Callithrix jacchus: one gene and its partners. The protein of the gene in region 2 interacts with the protein of the main gene of each other region in a pairwise test. Links are inferred from orthologs where the notes say so. Each region holds a gene or a part of one and is shown on either strand. Other genes may lie near its edges. The genes, in order: MEOX1, NEIL2 and REL.

What was found.
Region 1: the proteins of NEIL2 (region 2) and MEOX1 interact in binary tests that used the Homo sapiens proteins (3 or more experiments, as listed by UniProt). The two-hybrid records come from large-scale screens. The link is inferred for Callithrix jacchus from reciprocal best matches to the Homo sapiens genes NEIL2 and MEOX1.
Region 3: the proteins of NEIL2 (region 2) and REL interact in binary tests that used the Homo sapiens proteins (3 or more experiments, as listed by UniProt). The two-hybrid records come from large-scale screens. The link is inferred for Callithrix jacchus from reciprocal best matches to the Homo sapiens genes NEIL2 and REL.

The regions. Positions count from the first base shown.
Region 1 is NC_133506.1:70,535,688-70,543,725, reverse strand, and holds the start of MEOX1 (homeobox protein MOX-1), read left to right. Parts: upstream 1-4,136; 5' UTR 4,137-4,166; coding exon 4,167-4,635; intron 4,636-8,038. UniProt on the Homo sapiens protein: Mesodermal transcription factor that plays a key role in somitogenesis and is specifically required for sclerotome development. Required for maintenance of the sclerotome polarity and formation of the cranio-cervical joints.
Region 2 is NC_133514.1:10,278,072-10,285,682, forward strand, and holds the end of NEIL2 (endonuclease 8-like 2), read right to left. Parts: intron 4,984-7,611; coding exon 4,787-4,983; intron 1,663-4,786; coding exon 1,352-1,662; 3' UTR 357-1,351; downstream 1-356. UniProt on the Homo sapiens protein: Involved in base excision repair of DNA damaged by oxidation or by mutagenic agents. Has DNA glycosylase activity towards 5-hydroxyuracil and other oxidized derivatives of cytosine with a preference for mismatched double-stranded DNA (DNA bubbles).
Region 3 is NC_133515.1:53,211,141-53,219,078, forward strand, and holds part of REL (proto-oncogene c-Rel), read right to left. Parts: intron 6,723-7,938; coding exon 6,582-6,722; intron 5,327-6,581; coding exon 5,222-5,326; intron 5,124-5,221; coding exon 4,911-5,123; intron 3,213-4,910; coding exon 3,144-3,212; intron 2,694-3,143; coding exon 2,625-2,693; intron 1,517-2,624; coding exon 738-1,516; 3' UTR 1-737. UniProt on the Homo sapiens protein: Proto-oncogene that may play a role in differentiation and lymphopoiesis.

The DNA of each region.
Region 1 (8,038 bases), on a different chromosome or scaffold from region 2:
TTCCCAAGGCCATGATTTGGACCCTTGGGTTATATTGACATAGGAAAAGGTATCTGGGGGTGAGGATGAGCCACCGTCACCTACATCACGATGTGACCTGCCCAGTGGCTCTGCATAGTTCTCCCATCCAAGTACTGGCCAGGCCCAACCCTGCTTAGCTTCTGAGATCAGGCACAGTCAGGGTAGTATGGCTGTAGACTGGCTCTGCCTAGTTGAGCACAGAGGTGTGGCTGTTCGTCACATGCATCACCCTAATAGCCAGATGTTCTAAGATGCAGTTCATTTATCCTCCTCACTGCCACGTGAGGCCAGAACTGTCAACTCCACTTTGCTAGTGAGAAAAATGAGGCTCAGAGAAGGGCTTCGATTTGCCTGAGGCCACACAGCCCATACATAACAGGCAAGGTCACACCTTGAACTGGTGTCTTCTGCCTCCAGGTCCAGGGTCCTTCCCCGACACCCTGTCTCTCCAGACTCAGGTGGGTGGGGTGGCCGCGAACAGAAGCCGCCCTGTCCTGCCAAGTACACGCCTGCCTGCTGCACACAGTGGGGGAAATTGCACAAGTTCCTTGGGATGGCTCAGGTGTGGCCAGGCTGCAAGCCCTCCCGGGGGCCTCCTCCTGACTCACACTTTTCCTCTTCCTCCCCTCATTCTGCACCACAGCTGCCAGAGACCAGGTTCCCTCCCTTCCTGAAAACAGGGCTCTCCTGGCACATCCGCAGGGCTTCTCTCTGTTCTGAAGTGGAGTCTGGCTCTGTTGCCCGAGCTGGAGTGCAGTGGTGCAATCTTGGCTCACTGCAACCTCCGCCTCCTGGGTTCAAGAGATTCTCCTCCTGCATGGCTGGGACTACAGGTGTGCACTATTGTGCCTAGTTAATTTTTGTATTATTAGTAGAGGCAGGGTTTCACCATGTTGGCCAGGATGGTCTCGATCTCTTGACCTCGTGATCCGCCCACCTCGGCCTCCCAAAGTGCTGGGATTACAGGCGTGAGACACTGCACCCGGCCCACAGGGCTTTTTCTACACACAGTCCCTTCCATCCATCTCTGTCTCTGGCCCTGCGGGGCCTTGACAGGGAAATGCTGACTTTGAGGAGGTGAAAGGTGCTGGTGCCCGGCCTTCATCTAACAAATGGGTTGTGTGAGGGGAGGAACTCTTGTTGTTTTTTCCTGATCTCAGAAGAGGGGCCTGTCAGGAAGATGTAGGGGCCAGGAGGCCCCCGGCTGCGCCCTGCAAGGTGGCTGACAGACGCCAGCAGCTGCCGGGGGCTCTGGGGTGCCCAGGCCCTGTGTTCTCAGGGCAGAGCACCCACCGCGCCCCCTCCCGTGGCCCTCCTGACCTCCCCACCCACCCCACCATGACACAGGGCCCACTCTGTCCAGGGGCAAAGGGCCAGGCGCTGGGCCTCCCTGCCATGAGGTCCCTGGGCCAGATGCAGAGGCGGAGCGGGAATCCGGTTACAGCCTGTGGCTGGCCCAGGGGAAGGTTTTCCTAGGGAAGCTGACAGACCAGATCTTCCTCCCAGCCTCCCACGGATTCCTTCCAGAACCCCCACAGCACAGAGTGCCCCCCCCACAGGACCGCACAAGGCTGTTTCTGTAGAATTTCCTCAGAATTCCCCATTCTCAGATTTACCCTTTGGGATCTTCGAGGTTAACCACAAATAAATGTGCTAGGAAGGAAGCTATGTTTGTCCATTACCTACTCTGCTCTTTGCATAAAGGATTTCATTGAAATTTACAAATGTCTGTGGGCTGGGCTGCCTGGATTTGAATCCTGGGTCCGTCCTCAACTTCCCTGCTATGTGACCTTGTGCAGATTACACAGTCTCTCTGCATCGGAGTCCTCTGCTGAAAAACGGAGCTGATGAGAATGACTCTTGCCTCCGAAAGCTTTCATGGGAATTCATGGAGGTAAAAGTGTCTAAGATGCAAAGTGCCTTAGACAGATCCCATTCTGACTGTCATCTCAGATGAGTAAACAGAAATTCAGAGAGGTAAGTGACTTGTTCCAGGGCACACCGCCAGGAAGTGGAAGACCTGAGGTTTGAACTCAGACCTTTCTAACCTCAAACCCCATGTTTCTTCCTCTGCATCTGACCTGCTCCAGACTGAAGAGCAGGACCCCTGAGCCCAAGTGCTGGTTCCACCTTTTCTTTGGTATGTGAGTCTGGGCAGTCCAGTCAACCTTCTGAGCCTCAGTTTTGTCATCTGCAAAATGGAGATGTAATTCTTGCTTTACCCATCCTAGGAAAGTTATGAGGCTCAGAGAATTGTGTGTGCCACAGCTAAGCCCTTGGCAAAGCAGAGGGATGAGTCTGGTTGGCAGCTATGACTCCATCCCCTCTACTGGTCTACAACACCCTGACCGCTTGTTCCAGAAGAGAGTATGTCTTGTCATATGAACGTCCCTCCTCATCTTTTACAGCTGTTCTTGCTCCCGGGATGTGTATCTGACTGGAGTTTCTGGATTAAAGACAAGTCTCGGCTTTATTTCACATCCCTGGGTGCCTTTCCGCTCTTCCTAGGGGCATCTTCTGCACCTACTCCCCCAGGGCCCCATCTCCACGCCGCAGAGCTAAGACCCAGGGGCCCCTCCTCAGGGAGCCCCTGTTGTCTTTGGAAGCAGCCAGCAGAGATGCTGCTGTGAGGTCCATGCCTGGTTCTGCCCCCATCCTGCTGCTCTGGACCACGTACATCACCCGTGGGAAGGAGTTCTGGGCCCTGGGTGTTAGGAATGTCATCCTCCAAGAAATTGCATTAACCCTGTGAGAGACCAGCAGGGCACAGCCATGAGAAAAACTGATTGGGCATCGAGATGGCACTTGGGCTGGCTGCCCTGCGATGTGCACCAGCCCGGAGACCCACGTGCCTGCTTGCCAAAGAGGCACCTTTGGGGAACAAGGAGCCCCTGATTCCTATCTCCCAGCCCCAGATTCCTCAGAAGCCTCTGCCTCTGGAGGTTGAGAAAGGGAAACAGGTGGGTGGAGGTGAAGGGGGCAGGGAGCAGGTGGGAGGAGACTCGAAGAAACTTCATGGACCTTATTTAAGAATCTTGCCACTGCCATGAAGAAAAATGACTTGAAATCTCTCTAGAGAAGAGTGTGGCTAATTGGCATGTAAGTTGGAGGTTAAAGAGCGGAAGGAAGAATCTGATTGTTTTTTTAAGTTACTGAGAAAGTGAGAATGCCACTCTGGGCAGAGAGAAATTCTTTTTTTTTTTCTAGCCTTTCTTTATTCTAGAGACCATAGTGGGCCGCTGAGACTTGCAAAAAAGATTTCTTTTAATCTACCTTCCTTTTTCGCAGGCAGAAGGGCGTTTAAACCAAACGCATTCACCAAGCTTCCTCTTGCACTTATTCCTCGCTTTGCTCCCTGGAATTTGGCATTTGATGGATTCTGGATCTGACTTAAGGCTTTTTCTAAATCCAAGACTTGGGGAATTTCGTTAACAGTGCAATAAAAATAACTTCATAATGTTATGGGAGGGACATTAAAGACGGGGCGTGTGTGTATATGTGTGTGTGTGTGTGCGCGCGCGCGCGTGTGCACGCTACTCTCTTTCCTTAAAATAAAAAAAAATACAATGTTTCTTTAAAAGTCTCCATCTGCAAATCCCATTAGATGTGCATATAAGGTTTCTGATGATTAATAGTTGCCTGCTAGCGTTTTGGTTGGAGGGGATCTTTGTGTGCGGGTTAACCCCTCCCTCTCCTCTCTCACATTTCACTTCAGAAATTTGTCACTCTCTCCCCACCGCAGGATTTAAAAGTGTGTCCCAGCAGCCCTGGTCCGGCCCTCTGCAGGCATTTGCTCCGGGCTCCAGGACAAGCTCCTCATCAGCTGGTGCGTCTGGGTTGGGACAGTGAAAATGTTTAGTGTCATTGGCGACAAATACACGTACAGGGGACCCCAGTAGGCAGGCTGGTGCATCGGAGGGGCAGGAGGAAGCCCGACATAGGTGTGTGCACACGCATAGGAGTATCTGGCCACATGTGTGTGTCCTTTAAAGAGAGACTTTGGTTTAGGTTTTTGTTTTCGGTCCTGGGGTAAATTTTCTGCTAAACATTTTTCCCTATTTTTTTCTTTTGCATTTAAAAAAAACTGAACGTAAAAAGTATAGAGTCAAATCTTTGAAAGGACTGAGGCGTGCCGCGGACAGCAGATGGATCCCGTGGCCAGCAGCTGCATGAGGAGCCTCCAGCCCCCAGCCCCTGTCTGGGGCTGCCTTCGAAACCCCCACTCAGAAGGCAATGGGGCCTCAGGGCTACCCCACTACCCGCCAACCCCGTTCTCCTTCCACCAGAAACCAGACTTCCCAGCGACAGCGACGGCAGCATACCCCGACTTCTCGGCCTCCTGCCTGGCGGCCACCCCACACAGCCTGCCCCAGGAGGAGCACATCTTCACTGAGCAGCACCCCGCTTTCCCACAGTCCCCCAACTGGCACTTCCCTGTCTCAGAGGCCCGGCGCAGGCCCAACTCAAGCCCGGCAGGGGGTTCCAAGGAAATGGGGACCAGCAGCCTGGGCCTGGTGGACACCACAGGAGGCCCAGGCGAGGACTATGGGGTGCTTGGGAGCACTGCCAATGAGACAGAGAAGAAGTCATCCAGGCGGAGAAAGGAGAGTTCAGGTAGGTGGCTCAGGAGCTGCTGATCGTTCCTTTACTGTGTGACCTTGGGGAGATTACTCACCCTCTCTGTGCCTAGGTGCTCTCACCATGAATTTCTGTCTAGCCTATCTAAATGCAGGAGACTAGTGGTTTCTTTCACTGAGAGTTCTAGGATTCTCTGGTGATGGGGACAGTGTCTGTGTCCCAGCACTCCTGGGCCCCAGAAAACATGTCCCAGCAAGACAATGAAAAAGGATCAGCAAGGATTTGGAGGACATGTGAAATGGATCCTCTGGATGCAGACTGATGGGACTGGTGAGGGGCTTTCCTGAATCAGGCTGCTGTTGAGTCATATTCCTCCCCACCACGCTCTGGCCAGCCCCAAGTGGTCCTAGAGCCACAGGCCTCACTTACCAAGGAAGTCAGCTGAGACTGAGGCTCTGGGAGCTAAGACTGAAGCTGGGACCCTGGGTGGCCACCCAAAGCCAGGACTCTATGTGTCCAGGAGCCTAGAGGCAGAGAAGTAGGCCTGGGATTGGGATGGGAGAGTGAAGGGGTGAGCAGGGGATGGAGGGCTGAGGTTTGGGGCAGACTGCCTACCAGGTATTACCCTGCAGAGTTGGGCTATGCCCAGGCCCAGGGGACAGCTCAGCATGCTGAGATCGGGCTGACCCCCTCCCAGGAACGCAGCCCCTCAAGGAGCCTCGAGGGATGGGCAGCCTGCGAGAGTCAGGGAGGCAGACAGCCGAGGGAATCCATGCTGGAGTCCCAGTGACTGGAGGGTGAGGTTAGCCTGTTTGTTAAGAGCCTAGCTAAAGCCCTTCTCTTCCCCGGGGTGGGGATCTGCTGCTTCCTCACCTCCCCACCAGGCCCTCCCTGGCTTCTCACACTGCCTGTTCACCTTTTGTCTGATTCTTTGTCCTGACCTTATTCAGAACATGGTAGTGCCCAGGCCTCCTGCCTGTGCTGCCCGGTGTCCTCCTGACAGCCACCCTCGGGGGCACACTTATCTGTCGGAGCCTGTAGAGGACCTTCCCGTGGGGCTAACCAGGGCAGGCCAGAAAAGGAGGGCACCAATTAGCAAGCAGGAATGCTCTGGGTTTCTTTACAAAGCACTTTCGATGCAGCACAGCTTTCCCGAGTTTCTGCTCTTAGCCAAGCCCCAGGAATGCTAAGGTGAATGAAGGGGTCTCACCCAAAAAAGCACAAACTGAGAGGAAGAATCGTCCTGCAGAGGCCTCTCTGCAGCGGGATGTGCCCTGATGGGGAGGTTCTAGGTGCAGTTGGATACCGACGCTAGCCCTTCTGAGTTTTATTCGTATACGAATCAAGCAGGTTTTATTCGTATCTTGACTGTCTCAGTGTGCAAAATGAGAGACTGGAAGTTTGTGAGAACACAGAAAGATTGGGGTCAAAAAAGAGTGAGCAGCTTATCTCCATTTGCCTAGAACTTTTCCAGTTTGAGCACTGAAAATCCTGTGTCCTGGGAAACCCCGCAGTCCCAGGCAAACAGGACAATCGGTCACCCTAGAAGTGCGTTCGAACCTCAGGCTTCAGACCTGATATCAACCCTTCTGCAGATTTGAAATGCTCACTTTGAAATGATCTTTGGTCCTCCTGCTTGAAGAAGCCCCTCAGTGAGCTCACAATGGGTGATAGGAACCCACCACTAAACAGCGGGGCCTTTTGAACCTCCAGCCAGTTAGATCCCCATCCCAAAAATGAACTCATCCTACCCCTGGCAGGAAATGTGCCTAGGAGGCGCAGGAACTCAGCTGTAATCTGGGTTGAAGAGCTTTCCCCTTGGTGGCGGCGCCTGCCACTTTCCAGGGTACTGGGAGCCAAGGGCAGTGAGAAGGGATAGCAAAGCCAAGAGGCTGCTGGGCACAGGCGGAGACTTCCGGCATTCTGAGTCTCAGCAAAATCTAAGTGCACCAGCTGTCCTCTCGGCAAGTGGCCGACAGCCCTGCAATGCAGGGAGAGCATTCACGCCAAGCAGCTGGCCGCCCAGGAATACAGGGACACCCTCTGCCGAACGGCCTGCACACTTTGGGGTCAGACTCCAGTGGAGGGAGGTTCCCATCCACAGGGGCCCTGGGCTTCCCTAGGGGTCCCCTCAGGAGCAGCAGCAGCAGCTGAGGCAGGGTCCAGCGAGCCGACTCTCACTCATCGCCGTGATTCCAAACAAACTTGCTGTTCAACATGGAAATCTTTATTGCCCAGTTGCTTGAGTCCTCTTTTGGGATTTAACTGAAGGGGAGGAAGGATGAAAGAAAGATGAGCTTTGTAAGAGCCTAAAGAAGCGGGAAAGTGGCCAGCCGCAGTGGCTCATACCTGTAATCCCAGCACTTTGGGAGGCTGAGGCAGGCGGATCACTTGGAGGTTGGGAGTTTGAGACCAGCCTAGCCAACAGGGAGAAACCCCGTCTCTGTTAAAAATACAAAAATTAGCTGGGCATGTTGGTGCATGCCTGTAATTCCAGCTATTATTCAGGAGGCTGAGGCAGGAGAATCACTTGAACCCGGGAGGCAGAGTTTGCAGTGAGCCAAGATCGTGCCATTGCACTTCAGCCTGGGTGACAAGAGCGAAACTCTCTCTCAAAAAAGAAAATAAATAAATAAAAAGAAGGGGAAAGTGACGAGCTAAGCTCATAACCTACTCCAGGAGTCTGGAATTGAGCTCAGAAAAGGCAAACCCCACAAAGAACCCTCCCCCTCCCGACCCTGCCAGTCCTGAGTCTGTGATTGGATCATCTCTCTAAAATTGTGATTTTTTTTCATCATCAATTTTTTGCATTAATTTTTGTTTTTAAAAATATTGCCTTAAAATATTATTGATCTTGATTACAAAGGATTTGGGCGTGCCCTCTCATTTGGGGCTCCCCAAGTCTGGGTTGAGTGGTCTCTGGAAGGTTAACCAGCATTGATCAGAAACGTGTTTTCCGTAGCTCTTCCTGGTCAGACAGGCTGCAGTGTCAGCACTGCAGCTTTTGGCTGCATGACTTTGGAAAAGTTCTTAACTTCTTCCAGCCTCTGTTCGCCTAGCTGTAAAATGGGAATACAGCAGTAGCACCTTCCATAGAGAGTCTCTGTGAAGGTTAGATGCAGTGATCCATGAGATTAACTCTGTGCCTGGCACATAGTAAGAGTTCAATAAACAGTAGCTATGAATGGTATCAGGCCCATATTTCCTGCAACCGCCATCAGAATATAAGATCTGACAAATATTTCTATATTTATGGAGATGGTGGAATTGAATATTTCAGTTGTGCTGTCTTAGAAATTCCTGAGTCTGGGGAACTTCTGGCAATCATTTTGGTCCCGTTGTTATCAGTGTGGATCGTGGAGCTCAGAGACCTGCTGGAGAGGGTGTGGGTGACTTGGGCCTGGCAAATGCACCCCTTTTGGAGTGGCTGAGAAGCCTC
Region 2 (7,611 bases):
CGAGGCTGTAGTGAGCCATGGTCACACCCCTGCACTCCAGCAGCCTGGACAACAAAGCGAGACCCCGTCTCAAAAAAAAAAAAAAAAAAAAAAAAAAAAGAGCGAGTAAAGGAAAGTCAGAAACATTAGCCAGTGTTTTCAGTTTTACTCCCCCAAATCTCTGTGCAGAGGCCATGAGACAGAGGTCAAGTCCATCTCTGCTCACCTGGGGCAGGAAAGCAGGTGTGCTCCGGCCTCCTCTCCCTGCTCCTTTTCAGTGGATTCCTCAGCTAACCCAGTAAGCCTGGAGGCCATCTCCATGAATAGTTCTGTTATTTCGTTTAAAACCTTTTACTGCCAAATAAAGATACAACAGAAAATAACAAAGAGCTTTATTTTTGTGTGGCTGTCCTGGCTTCATTTACTTGTTGCCAACAGCCTGAGGGAGTTTCTCCATCGCCCTTGATTCGAGCTTAACATATTAACAGTCACAAATACACAAACTTCAGGAGTAAACAAGCAGCTTTCCCTGCAGACCATCCTGCACCCCAGAACAGCCCAGCTCCCTGCTGCAGCCCCGCCTCTGGGTGTCCACATCCAGCAGGAAGGACCCAACAGGAAGCTGAATCCAAGCACTGCGCTCAGGCCACTCTCTCCTCATCCCTGGATCCTCCAGAACAAGAAAAAAATAATAATCCCGTTTTCCTGCATTCCAAAATGGAAGGCCTTAAAATCAACCAGCATTGGAAAAGAAAACAGGAGCTAGCCGGTGCGGTGGCTCACTCCTGTGGTCCCAAGTTTGGGAGGATTGCTTGGGTACACAAGTTCGAGACCAGCCTGGCCAACATGGCAAGACCCCATCTCTACAAAAGGTAAACAGAAATCAGCCGGACATCCCGGCACATGCCTGTAGTCCCAGCTACTGTGGAGGCTGAGGTGGGGACCGCCTGAGTCTAGGAGGGCAAGGCTTCAGTGAGCCGAGCTGGGGAGACAGAGCGAGACCCATCACAAAACAAAAACTGAAAAATCCCCACATCATCTGCAAAGCCATGTAGGGAGCACAGCTATTTCCCATGGGCTCTTTCCTTGCCCCACTGCCTTCGGGAGCTTTCCCCTTACCAACCATCATGATTTTTCTCATCTTTCACAATGGTGCAATTCAATAGGAAGAATTAACTGAACTAGAAAAAGAAGAAGAAATCGAACCCTATGAAAACTCTGCCTTCAACATAACTCCGGAATATTGTCATACTGGCACCCCTGACCCACACTATCCTCTGCACCCTGTCTCTGCCCATATCCTCCCCTTTCTGGATACTTAGACGTCAGGTTCCCCAAGGGGCAAGGTTCCATGACGAGCACCCCAAGTTCCTTAGGAGAACTGGCGCTGCTCCAGCTCCTCGGACAACTGGGGCTGGCACTGTGGGCACCACCAGGTGAGCCTTTGGAACCCACCTGGGGGTCCAAACGCTTCCTTCAAGAGCTGGTGGCCAGCAGGGCACCATTCCTTCTGGTAGACCTGCGTGTGCTGCGGGTGGCCCTGAAGCTTGTCCTGCAGCCAGGCTGCACTGAACTCCACCACGCCGTCCACCAGGGCCTCCCGTTGCGAGGCGCTCAGGACGGAGCCAAGAGAGAGGGGATGAATCCCAGCTCTATACAAGACTTCATTCTTAATGATGTTCCCTGAAAGACAGCAGGGGAGGGTGAGGGAAGAAGAAAGTGACAAAACCACCCACAAAGCTCACAAGGCAGAATTCAGCTCTCCCACATCCTGCAGGACCTTGGGCGGGTAAGTGATATCCGCCTCCATTTCCCTGTCTGTAAAATGGGGACAATTTCAACCTTTATGGTTGCTGTGGAGATGAAATGAAAGTCATGCGTGGCCCATCATGGCACACAGGTTATCAAAGAGGGCTCGGGCATCTGACTGCCTGCACTTGAATCCCAGCTCAAGCAGCTCCTACCCATGTGACATGGCAAGCTCCCCAGCCTTGATCAGCTGTAGTTTCCTTATCTGTAAGGCAAGGATGGCTTACCTGGTTCTTGTGAGCAGTAAATGAGAATTCACTAAAAAATGCTGAGTACAGTGGCTGGGATGTAGAGTACTCAATAAATATTAACTGTTATTATCATTTTAAAATGGTTGGCCGGGCGCAGTGGCTCATGCCTATAATCCCAGCACTTTGGGAGGCAGAGGTGGGTGAATCACGTGATGCCAGGAGTCCAGCTGTCCAGACTGGACAACACGGTGAAACCCCATTTCTACCCCAAATACAAAGATCAGCCAGGCATGGTAGCACGTGCCTCTAATCCCAGCTACTCTGGTAGCTGACCCACGAGACTCGCTTGAACCCGGGAGGCGGAGGTTGCAGTAACCTGAGATTGTGCCACTGCACTCCAGCCTGGGTGAAAGGGCAAGACTCTGTCTGAAAAAAAATTTTTTTTTTTGAGATGGAGTCTTGCTCTGTCGCCAGGCTGGAGTGCAGTGGCACAATCTTGGCTCACTGCAACCTCCGCCTCCAGGGTTCAAGTGATTCTTCTGCCTCAGCCTCCCGAGGAGCTGGGACCATAGGCGTGTGCCACCACACCCAGCTAATTTTTGTATTTTTAGTAGAGACAGGGTTTCACCATGTTGGCCAGGATGGTCTCGATCTCTTGACCTCGTGATCGGCCCACCTCCCAAAGTGCTGGGATTAAAGGCGTGAGCCACCGCGCCTGGCCCAATAAAATTCTTTTTTTAAATTAAAAACAAAATGTCCAGCATAGCTGGGCACAGTGGCTCACACCTGTAATCCCAGCACTTTAGGAGGCAGAGGCAGGAGGATGACTTGAGCCCACGAGATCAGGACCAGCCTAGGCAACATAGCGAGACCTTGCCTCTACAAAAAAAAAAAAATTTTAATTAGCAAGGTGTGGTATCATGCACCTGTACTCCCAGCTACTCAGGAGGCTGAGGTGGGAGGATCGCTTGAAACAGGGAGGTTGAGGCTGCAGTGGGTTGTGATTGTGCCACTGCACTCCAGCCTGGATGACAGAGAGAGACCCGGTCTCAAAAAATAAAATGAAATCTCGAGCGTGATGTGTGCTATGTTAGGAAGTGTTTGGGGAGGTATCCTCTTATCATTTCTCTACTCCTGCCTCATTCTCTGTGAAGCCAGCCTCCATCCCTCTTTTCAGAATCAGTAACTCTCTCTGGAATGTTCCAACAGGACTCTAAGCTCCACCAGGCATTCATCACAATCTTTCCTAACCCACAGTGACCTGAGTCCCTGCTTGCTGAGCCATTCAACAATGACCTCTGTAGGAAGAGGTGGTGAGTGTGACAGAGCCCGAGTGAGTGTCGCTGTGCCTCGCGTTAAGGAAATTCTTGAGCAGGTGAAGGAAATTCCTGCTTTCCAAAAGCGTCAGTCATACTCCCCATTACACACATCATTGTCTCCAGAATTCACTGACAGAATACCCGACCTCACGTCTCAGCCTTGCTACTGACTAGCAATGTGTTCTTTGCTTCAGTTTCCTCATCTGAAGAAAGGAAAAACCACTATAACTATTCTATGGAACGGCAGTAAGGACAAAAACGTGTGCCTGGTGCATCAGAGCTGCTTGGAACACACTGGCCGTATTACTCCTGTTACTGTTGTTAGCTCTTGCCATATATATCCGAAAAGCCACCTCCGGATGCCTCTTTGCTCCTGAGGGCACAGGGACACCCATGGTTCTAACATGAAAATGCAAGGCTAGTGCCTGGTGCAGCACCAGGCCTCCTCCGACCCTTGTGAGGGGAGGGGAGGAGAGCTGACAGCAAAGTCACACCTTGGATATGGAGGTGACTGTCACCACCAACTCACCTAATTGCCTCAGCAGCCTATTTTGGGCACAATTATTCCCCTGCTGTGGGTAAGAAGAATGGCACATTCTCAGGGCTGGGTATGGTGGCTCACACCTATAATCCTATCACTTTGGGAGACTGAGGAGGGTGGATCACGAGGCCAGGAGTTCAAGACCAGCCTGACCAACATGGTAAAACCCCATCTCTACTAAAAATACAAAATTATCCGGGCGTGGTGGCACATGCCTGTAATCCCAGCTACTAGGGAGCTGAGGCAGGAGAATCCAACCTCAACTGGAGCCAAGGTGCTCTAGCCTGAGTGACAGAGCAAGACTCTGTCTCAAAGGAAAAAAAAAAAGGAGTGGCACGCTCTCATAGTCCAGCTAATTAGCCGTTACATGTATGTTCTGGGATTACTCAGCGCTTCTCCATAACTCGAAATGCACACAACGTCCCTGCTCAGGCCACTGCCACAGAGAGGAAAACTGCTCCTTCCCTCGTGTCCTGTAAGAGCCTAATGTAGACTGAGTCATCTCTGTGCCCTGACCGGGGGAGGCTCCATCCACCCATGGCAGCACCCCGTAGAACACACACTCATTCCTCTGCTAGAGCCTGTACGACTTCAGTCCCCACCGACATGGCTCAGCCACCTCCTGTGGGCCAGGCGCTGCTGTGCAGCGGAGCGGATAGGGACATGACCCTGCCCTTTCGGAGGGGATGCTCCCGTGTTGCTGGCAGAAGGCTCATAACTGATAACACAATTAGAGTGTGGACTCTGAAGCCGAGAGAAGTTAAAAACTGCCTGATCTAATGCCCTCAGTTTAAAAACAAGGGAAGTAAAATGAAGATTAAGCAAGTGGCCCCCTCAAGGCCAACAGCACTGGCACGAGTGGGGCGGGTCTCAGGTCTTGTGACTCCCACAGGAACGACTTTGCCTTGAGCAACTCTGTGGGCTCACCCCTTTCCCATCAGTCATACCTAGCCCTGAGAAGTGTTTCTGGTCCAACAGTGTATAGCAGACAGGCTGAGCCTGGCCTAGAGCTTCCAAGGCTTGTCCTCGATGGAACTTCTCAGACAGGATGTCACAGGTGGGTGTGACCGCTGGGGAAGAGCTCCAGGACATCTGACAATTATAAAATGCTAGGAAGCCGCCACCACCGAAGTGCAGGACCAACCTGGGAAGAAAGAATAGGTGTTAGGTACACGTCATTACCACGCTACATTGAGAGCACGCTCTGTGGTCGGATCATACACACAGACAGCCCTGACTTACAGCGGTTCACTTTTAATTTCTGACTTTATAACGGTACAAAACCAGTGCACACTCAGTAAAAGCCACACTCTGAGTACCTATAAAACCATTCTTTTACTTTCAGTACAGTACTCAATAAATTATATGAGATATTCAACATTTTATAAAACACGCTTTGTGTTAGATGATTTGCCAACTGTAGGCTAATGTAATTGTTCTGAGCACAAATAAGGTAAGTTAGGCCATGCCATGATGTTTGGTAGGCTAGGCATATTAAATGCATCGTTTTTTACTTATAATATTTTCTTTTTGAGATGTCATTTTGTTCTTGTCGCCCAGGCTGGAGTGCAGCAGCTCGATCTCAGCTCACTGCAACCTGTGCCTCCCAGGTTCAAGTGATTCCCCTGTCTCATCCTCCCAAGTAGCTAGGATTGCAGGTGTGCACCACCACACCTGACTAATTTTTTGTACTTTTAGTAGAGATGGTATTTCATGTTGGCCAGGCTGGTCTTGAACTCCTGACCTCAGGTGATCAACCCTCCTCCACCTCCCAAAGGCTGAGATTACAGGCGTAAGCCAACCACACCCAACCTAGTATTTTCAGTTCTCCAAATACTCCATGTACCCTTTCCATAGAGAAGAGATATATAATTTTATTTATTTATTTAGATTTTTTTTGAGATAGGGTGTTGCTCGTTGCCCAGGCTGGAGTGTAGTGGCACAATCACAGCTCATTGCAGTCTCAACCTCTCTGGCTCAAACTATCCTCCCACTTCAGCCTCCCAAGTAGCTGGGACTAGAGGTATGTACCACCACACCTGGCTAATCTTTTTATTTTTATTTTTAGTAGAAACAGGGTCTCACTATGTTGCCCAGGCTGGTCTCTTACTCCTAGGCTCAAGTGATCCTCCTGCCTCAGCCTCCCAAAGTGCTGGGATTACAGACATGAGTCACTACGCCTGCAAGCTAATATTATTTATTTCAAAGACCAGCCTATTAAAGAAAAAAGAGACAAAGCAAAATAAATACAAAACATGCAAATGAGAAAAGAGACATAACCAGGTAAAAAGAGATTTAAAAATAAAGGCATGATACACATTCACTCTGTGGCAATATATCTGAAAACCCAGGCGTGAGCCTGCTTCGTGGAGTGCATTTCAATGCCTCCAACTGGCGACTAACCCAGGACTCAGCAAAGAGCAGGCTCCTGATGATGAGAGGCTTCCTGGGGGTTCTGAGAAAAGTTTCCTCATCTGAACTTCTACAAGTGACCTTCTCATTCTGGATTTTTTGGTGTGGATAAAATCTTGGAGCTGCCGTAGCCTATTGCTGCTCAGCTAAGGACAAAACCACTGCATGGAAAGCGCAAAGCCAGGAGAATCCTAAGAATATGAAGCCAGAACCTTGGAACCGCAATCCCAAAGCCCACCCTCCTTCTGAACTTCCGGTCATGGGAGCCCCAAATCTCCTGACCACAGACACTACTCCGAGTTATTTTTATAGCCCATAGCATCCTATGGTATTTACATCGTGCCACAAATAAAGACTACCTACAGTTCTGGCCAGGCGGTGGCTCACGCCTGTCTGTAATCCCAGCCAAGGTGGGCAGATCACGAGGTCAAGAGATTGAGACCATCCTGGCCAACATGGTGAAAACCCGTCTCTACTAAAAATACAAAAATTAGCTAGATGTGGTAGCATGCACCTGTAGTCCAGTTACTCGGGAGGTTGAGGTAGGAGAATCACTTGAACCTGGGAGGTGGAGGTTGCAGGGAGCCGAGATGACGCCACTGCACTCCAGCCTCGTGACAGAACAAGACTCCATCTCAAAAAAAAAAAAAAGACAGACTACAGTTCTAAACATTTTTAAAAATTATGAAACGTCAGAAAATAGAAGTCACGTGGTTTTCCCTGGGGGCAGAAAGGGCCTTTTTTTAGCAAAAAGGGAAACCTACGAGCAACCAGGAAAAACACCCACCACTGACAACATAAAAATTTAAAATCCCAAATGCCAAGAGGCATCCTAAGCACAGTGAAAGGACAAAGGATAGACTTGAAACAATATTGGCAACACACGGCAGAAAGACAAAGACTTTCTGTCCAAAAGCTTCAATACATTGATAAGAAGTACACAAACGACTTAACGTTCATGAGATTTCAGCTCAGCTAGCACTTCCTAAGGCCATAAAAATGTGCAGCCCTAAGAACGTGCATTCCCTTTGACCAGCAATTACTCCAATGGGAATTGACATGAAGGACATAATCCTAATCCTAGATAGAGTATTATGCAGAAAATGTTGATTTCAACATTCATACATTCAAAACTGGGGTGGGCACGGTGGCTCATGCCTGCATTCCGAGCACTTTGAGAGGCAGAGGCAGGTGGATCACTTGAGGCCATGAGTTCCATGAGAATTCACTTGAGGCTGGTCCATGAGACCACCCTGGCCAACATGGTGAAACCCTGTCTCTACTAAAAATACAAAACTTAGCCGGTGTAGTGGTGTGCGCCTATAGCCCCAGCTCCTCAGGAAGCTAAGGCAGGAAAATT
Region 3 (7,938 bases), on a different chromosome or scaffold from region 2:
ATAAAATGTAGAAAACCTCCCATACCTTAAAAGCTCACTTCTGCCCAACGTAACACTAAAGACATTTTGATACACATACAAACCTAAGAAACTCCAAGAAGCCTAAGAAAACCCCTTAGGGGTTACCTTGGCCCATGGGCCTCAAAAATAAGAAATTAAGTTTTTCAATGGCATAGCCATTACAAGTTTTATCTTAAATTTACTTGAAATTTAAGAATACATTAAAACATTATAAAAAGAAATATAAAAAAGCATAAAAGCATTTTTTTTGAGATGGAGTCTTACTCTGTCACTCAGGCTGGAGTGCAGTAGTGAGATCTCAGCTCACTGCAACCTCCGCCTCCTGGGTCCAAGCAATTCTTGTGCCTCAGCCTCCCAGGTAGCTGGGAGTGCAGGTGTGCACCACCATGCCCACCTAATTTTTGCATTTTTAGTAGAGACGGGGTTTCACCATGTTGGCCAGGCTGGGCTTGAACTCCTGGCCTCAAGTGATCCAGCCGCCTAGGCCTCCCAAAGTGCTAGTATTACAGGTGTAAGTTCCTATGCCCAGCCTCTGAGTTGTCTTTCTATGACAGCTTCCAATTTTGTGTTCACTACGTCCAAAGTTGCATGCTTCTTCCCTGAAAAAAGTTTTTTTTATATTCTCAAATACAGTACTATATTCCCAGTCAGACAAATACAAAATGCTGCACCTACACAGGTGATACCAAGACTTAAAATGATTTAAATCTTGCAAGTTATACTTGAAAAAATTCATATGGAAAGGAGTCACTCAACTGCTCATTTTGCATACTGCCAATACCTGAATACTGACTACCTTGAACAAAACTATGACTGTCTGGATTGGTACTGTTTGATGGTCCTGACTCATTCATCATGCTGTTATCTGCACAATTGAAGTCAGATCCCTCAAATGCATCTGATTGTGAAACAAAAACAGCAGTATTGGAATTGGCACCTGCTGACATATTGGAAGAGGACATCTGGTGGAGCTGTCTCAAGTCTCTTGGGTCTAACACTGAATTACATGAGGGGTTTTCAAGATTCATGCTCAGAAGTCTTGGATTATCAGTCTCTCCCATGCTATCATTGCTGGTGGTCATCATATTCACAGAACAATTTGACAGCATGTTGGGATCAGAAATACCATATAAATCGGCTGGTGGCATGGATGACGCTTCCATTCCGACTATGTCGTCAGCATTGTTATAAATGCAAGCATTAGAAACATTTAAATCATTCTCAACAGGTATTCCCAGGAATGGTGGGATACCTTGTGAATTAGAAGGAAGTGTCCCTGTTGAAAAACTGCTCAGTGGATTTGTATTGACTAAGCGTGAGGTGGGGTGGGCCACTGATGACCAGCTTGAAGAAGGCGGAGGTGGCATTGAGGCATGACGTGACAATCCACTTGAGATGTGCCCAAGTGAGAGATAGTAGGATTCTCCTTGATTTGAAATCCCTGTAGGTCTGGACATTTCTGTCGCAACTGCACCATGAGAAAACAAGTTTGGTTCTGTGGGAGGAAAAATTTATTTTACAAAATTAAAATAAACAAAATTAGAAAAAGTATTATTTCTAAATTAAAATTGCATATGAACACAAATAAATACACAAAAAAATGTCAAGGAAACCAATGTAACATTTCAAATAAAAAATGTAAAAAGCACTAAAATTATTACACAAATCCAAAATGAAATTCTGTAACATATACCGTTTACAAATACAGGAAAAATGATTTTGGCAAATTACTCTGGCATATGTACTTTCACTCCAGTTAAATGAAAATCTAGTTTCTGAGGCTCTATAAATGTATTTTTGAAAACTGGAAGATAAATATGAGAATTTTAATTAATGGGACTCCAAACAGCCAAAATCATCTCTTACTCTCCACTTTTAGGAGAAAATGGAAGGATGGAGAAAACACCCATTAGGGATAATAAGAAAATACACAACTTTTAAGATATATTATGACACAATCCTAACAGACTATAAAATTCACAGTCAGAAAAAATTAATTCTGTATTTATTTACATATTATACAAATGCTTGACAACCTAAACCAGGAAAAAGCACTGATTTAAGAATGTAAGGGGGTAGAAAGGACTTCTAATTAGCCCGTTAGCCCTTGGTCAAATTATCTAAACTAGGGATTGGCAATTTTTTTTCTTGTAAAAAGTCAGATAGTAAATATTTTAGGCTCTGTGAGCTATATACAGCCTCTGTTGGAACTTTTCAACTCTGTTGCCATGGTGTTAAAAAGGCAGTTTAGAGACAGTATTTAATCAAATATTCATAGCCATGTTCCAGTAAAATTGTATTTATAAAAATTGGTAACTAACCAAATCAATAACATTTTTTCCATAACATGATATAATTAATAAAATTGCTACTGTATAAAACACATGTTATTTCTTGAAAAATAAATCCCAAAAACACAATCTGTTTCTAACACAACCTTCAGAAGCCATGTTCAATTCATTCTATACTGAAACCAAGAAAAATCTGAAGGAGAGAAAATTTTCAAAAAAGTAGTTATTCATTCCTAAATACAGAGTTCCAATACATTGTGCCAAGCTCTGGTCTTTCTAATCACAAGAAATATGCTATAGGAAATAAAATACCTTTTTTGATGTATCTTCCTTCTCCTATTGATCCAAGGGGACCAGGTCTTGGTCTCTCAGGAAAATTAACTGTTAGGATAAAGTTTTTCCATTATTAAATATAATTTGAAAAATAACACTATCAGTTAAAATTTGAAAAACCAGCCAGAGGTGGTGGCTTCTGCCTATAATCCCAGCACTTTTGGAGGCCAAGGTGGTGGATCACGTGAGGTCAGGAGTTTGAGACTAGCCTGGCCAACATGGGGAAACCCCGCCTCTAATAAAAATACTAAAAATTAGCCAGGTGTGATGGCACATGCCTGTAATCCCAGCTAATTAGGAGGCTGAGGTAGGAGAATTGCTGAACCTGGGAGGTGGAGGTTGCAGTGAGCTGAGATTGCCCCACCGCACTCCATCCTGGCTGAAAGACAGGCCCTGTCTCTACTAAACAAAAACAAAACAAAAGTAAAAATTGAAAACCTGAATAAAGCAAATAAAACAAAACCTATTTAAATATGAATCAATCAAAAATATTCTTACCATGATCCTGCCACAATTTCTGAAAAAGCAGAGTTGTCTTTTGTTTCTTTGATTTATTGCCGTAAGTATCTGATTAGAAAGAAACCAAAAAAAGCAGGTAAAAAATTAAACTCTCCACTAATAAACAAGTATTTTATTCACATATAGAAAATGTTTTCAATAAATATGTATATAATTTGGATTTAATAAGTATTATAGAATATGTCCCAAATCAGTACTATCAGTAGTAAAGGATATTTTTCTCTTGGTAAAAAATTGTTTAAAGTAATCCCAGCACTTCGAGAGGCAGGTGGATCACTTGAGCCCAGGAGTTTGAGGACAGCCTGGGCAACATGGCAAAACCCTGTCTCCACAAAAAATACAAAAACTGGCTGTGCACAGTGGCTTATGCCTGTAATCCCAGCACTCTGGGAGGCCAAAGAGGGTGGATCACCTGAGGTCAGGAGTTTGAGACCAGCTTGGCCAACATGGTGAAATTCTGTCTCTACTAAAAATACAAAATTAGTTGGGTGTGGTGGCACATGCCTGTAGTCCCAGCTACTCAGGAGGCTGAGACAGGAGAATCGCTTAAATCGGGAGGCAGAGGCTGCAGTGAGCCGAAATCATACCACTACGCTCCAGCCTGGTGAAGATAGAGCAAGACTCCATTTCAAACCAACAAACAAAACCCACAAAAATTAGCCTGGTGTGGTGGTGCACACCTGTAGTCCTGGTACTCCAGAGAGGATGAGGTGGGATGATCAATCACCTGAGCCCAGGAGGTTGAAGCTCTGGTGAGCCATGATCATGCCACTGCACTCCAGCTTGAGTGACAGAGTGAGACCCTGTCTCAAAACAAACCAAAACAAACAGTTTAAAATATTCATCTTGTTTTCTTATCACACAAGTCAATAATGTGAACTAATACAATAAGGTTGGATAAGAAGTCAATATAGAGACTACTCTCTGAGTGGTAAGTGCACAAGGACAAAAATAGACCTTCAAAAATACAATAGAAATTTTAATAAGCAGTTTAGATACTTTGAAATTATTCCATACTAATCAAACCTCTTTTTTTATTTTTGAGACAGAGTCTTGCTGTGTCGCCAGGCTGGAGTGCAGTGGCATGATCTCGGCTCACTGAAACCTCTTTTTCCCAGGTTCAAGCAAATATCCTGCCTCAGCCTCCCAAATAGCTGGGACTATAGGTGCGTGCCACCATGCCCAGCTAATTTTTCTATTTTTGGTAGAGACAAGGTTTCACTATTTTGGCCAGGGTGGTCTCCATCTCTTGACCTTGTGATCCGCCCACCTTGGCCTCCCAAAGTGCTAGGATTACAGACGTGAACCACCGAGCTTGGCCCAAACCTCTTTCTTAAGAAAGAAACGCAGAGACCAGCCTGGCTAACATGGTGAAACCCCATCTCTAATAAAAACACGAAAGTAGCTGGGGGTGGTGGTGCGTGCTTATAGTGCCAGCTAATTGGGAGGCTGAGGCAGAACTGCTTGAACTCGGGAGGCGGAGGTTACAGTGAGCTGAGATTGCACCACTGCACTCTAGCCTGGGTGATAGAGTAAGACTCAGTCTCAAAAAAACAAAACCAAAAAAAAAAAAAAAAACAACAAATGAGATGCAAAGAGCATAAAGAAAAAAACCCAACGGAAAGTTTCCAGGAAAAGAAACACAAATTATGAATATACATAGCTGTATTTAAATGAATCTTACAAGATGTTATTAGCAGGACCACTTTAAGAAATATATAAATTATTACCAGCATAATGTCATACCCTTTTCATCTGGCAGATATCTAAAATCCATAGATTCACTAACTTCCTGGTCAGAAGGTCTCCGCAACTGCATTTTTACTGTTACAGGTTCTGTGATAGCTTTGCAATACGGTGGGGTTTTAAAAACAATGGCTACTTGACGGTGTACATCAGCTTGTGAAAAGATGCCTTTTGCTTCCCAATCATTCAACACAAAACGAACTTCTATGTCATCTAGTAAATAAGAAACAAAAGAAATAACAATGGGAAAACAAAGTAACTGCATCTATTAATCTAAATTTTATTCTAAATTCAACGAAATAAATAAATACCTTTCTGAACTTTGTCACAAAGTAGAAATATTTCATCTCCTCCTCTGACACTTCCACAATTCTTGTTTACACGACAAATCCTTAATTCTGCAGTATTTGGAGCACCTAAATATAAAGGATTTAAAAAAAAAATGAGTTGCTACATAATATTTTATTTCTTTTTGAAGGGAAGAATTTGAGGAAAACCATTCACAGAATAAAAGTTTTAGTGTATAAATAAAGGACACTAAATACACTAATCATCTATATTTGTCCACTTCCTTTCTAACTGCTTTACTTTAGACTTGTGACTTCATTTCTAGGTAATGACACATTCTCTAATTATAGCTCCCTGCTTCTAAATTCTGATTCTGCCAATCAATCCTACACAATTGTCACCAGATTAATCTTTATAAATCATGGCCATATCCCTACAGCAACACAATTTTCCCTATGGCAATACATCTCCTTATGGCAATACAACTTTCATGCTTCCTACTATCTGGCTGTAAGATTATAATAATTATCCCTGGCATTTAAAGCTCTACATATTAAGGATACTCTAATCTACCTTTATAGACCTATGTCTCACTACCCTACATGTACAACAGGTATAGCCATACACCATTGGTGGATGTATATAGAGATGCCTATGTACATACACACACACGCATACACATACACATACACACACACACACACACACACAGCATTTTGGGGGGAAGTTTCATAATCTTCTAAAATTAGATATATCCATATCCTTTGATCCAGCATTTGCCATGCAGTGAGCGAGCCATGACTGCACACTGCACTCCAGCCTGAGTGACAAAGCAAGACCCTACACTGCAAAAACAAAACAAAACTAAAAAAGCCCCTAAAAAAACCATATACAAGAATATGTATTGCAGTACAGTTAGTGAAAAAATAAAAAATGAGAAAAGAAACAAAATGAATGTCTTGTAAGAGGGTAATTAATAAAATTATGATATAACTATATAATGAAATATGCTGCTACTGAAACAAATAAGGTGACTGAAAGGAAAATGTTCAAGATAGATGGTAAGATGAAAGTTAGTTTTTAAAACAATTATCACTTATGATTTTTTTTAAGTTGCCAAAATTGTAACTATGTCAAAAATGATGATGACAGTGTATTTGTGTGTACATAGGAACAAGAAACTGGTAAAATATGCACCTAAGCATAGTGATTATCTCTGGAGGATGAGATTAGAGATTTACTCTCTGTTATAATATTTCTGTAACGTCTGGAAGTTTTCCTATCATAAATATATTGTTTTTCTAATTACCAAAATACTTTTAAGAATTAAACTATTATAAAAAACAAGTTAAGACTACAAATACAAGAAAATGAAGTACTTACGGTTGTCATAAATTGGGTTCGAGACAACAGGAGGAAGAGCAGTTGTCAAATTACCATGTTCATCAGGGAGGAAAACTTGAAAACATAATCTCACCACATTGAGATCACAATCTTCAATATCAATCAGCTGTTTTTCAGGCACTGAATAGTTTTAAAAAAAAAAGAATTTTTTTTAAGAATGTAAAATAGTTGGGACACAGTGGCTCAAGCCTGTAATCCCAGATCTTTGGGAGGCCGAGGCGGGCAGATCACGAGATCAAGAGATCGAGACCATCCTGGCCAACATGGTGAAACGTCTCTATTAAAAATACAAAAATTAGCTGGGCGTTGTGGCATGCACCTGTAGTCCCAGCTACTCGGGAGGCTGAGGCTTGAACCTGGGAGGTGGAGGTTGCAGTGACCCGAGATTGTGCCACTGCACTCCAGCCTGGCGCCTGGCAACAAAGTGAGACTCTGTCTCAAAAACAAAGAAACAAAAAGCAAAATAGTCACATAGACCTAAAGTCCTGCTAGGTACTCCTCCCTGCCCATTATAGCCAATAACCTTGAATAGCATCCAAATCTGTACCAATAAAAACAGAATAGTATACAATCTCAAGATTGCCTTTTACCATTCTTATCAAGTAGTCACTGTTTAACAGTATTTGAAAAAATACAGCCATGTTCAGGAAGTAACTATCCCCTCACCTGGGATTTAAAGCAGACTCCCAAGTTGACATTAATAACAAATCAAAGTTTCAAAAAATAGTTGCAGGTTCGTACACAACAAAGAATGGCATTTACTTATTCATTCAACAAGTATGTATTTGGTCCAGTTGTTGTGTTAAGGACTCTGTAAATTATCTCCTAAATCTGTACAAGAATTACTTTCATTCCCATTTTACTAGTGAGGAACTGAATTTAATTAATTTTTTTGAGATAGGGGTCTCACTCTATTCCCCAGGATGGAGTGCAGTGATATGATTTTGGCTCACCCCAACCTCTGCCTCCCAGGCTCAAGTGATCTTCTCACCTCAGCCTCTTGAGTAGCTGGGACTACAGGCACACGCCACCACGCCCAGCTAATTTTTCTACTTTTTTATAGAGATGGGGTTTTACTATGTTGGCCAGGATAGTCTCAAATCCCAGGCTCAAGTGATCCACCTACTGTGGCCTCCCAAAGTCTTGCGATTATGGGTGTGAGCCACTGCACCTGGCCTGGAATTTAAAGAAATGAATTACTTGCCCACAGTTTAACAGTGGTAGGGTGAAAATGTGAACTCAAGTAATTGAATTTAGAGCCTATGCTTTTAAAGATTGAACTCTATTAGAAAATTGTACATATGTTATACATAAAAATGACACACACAAGAATATC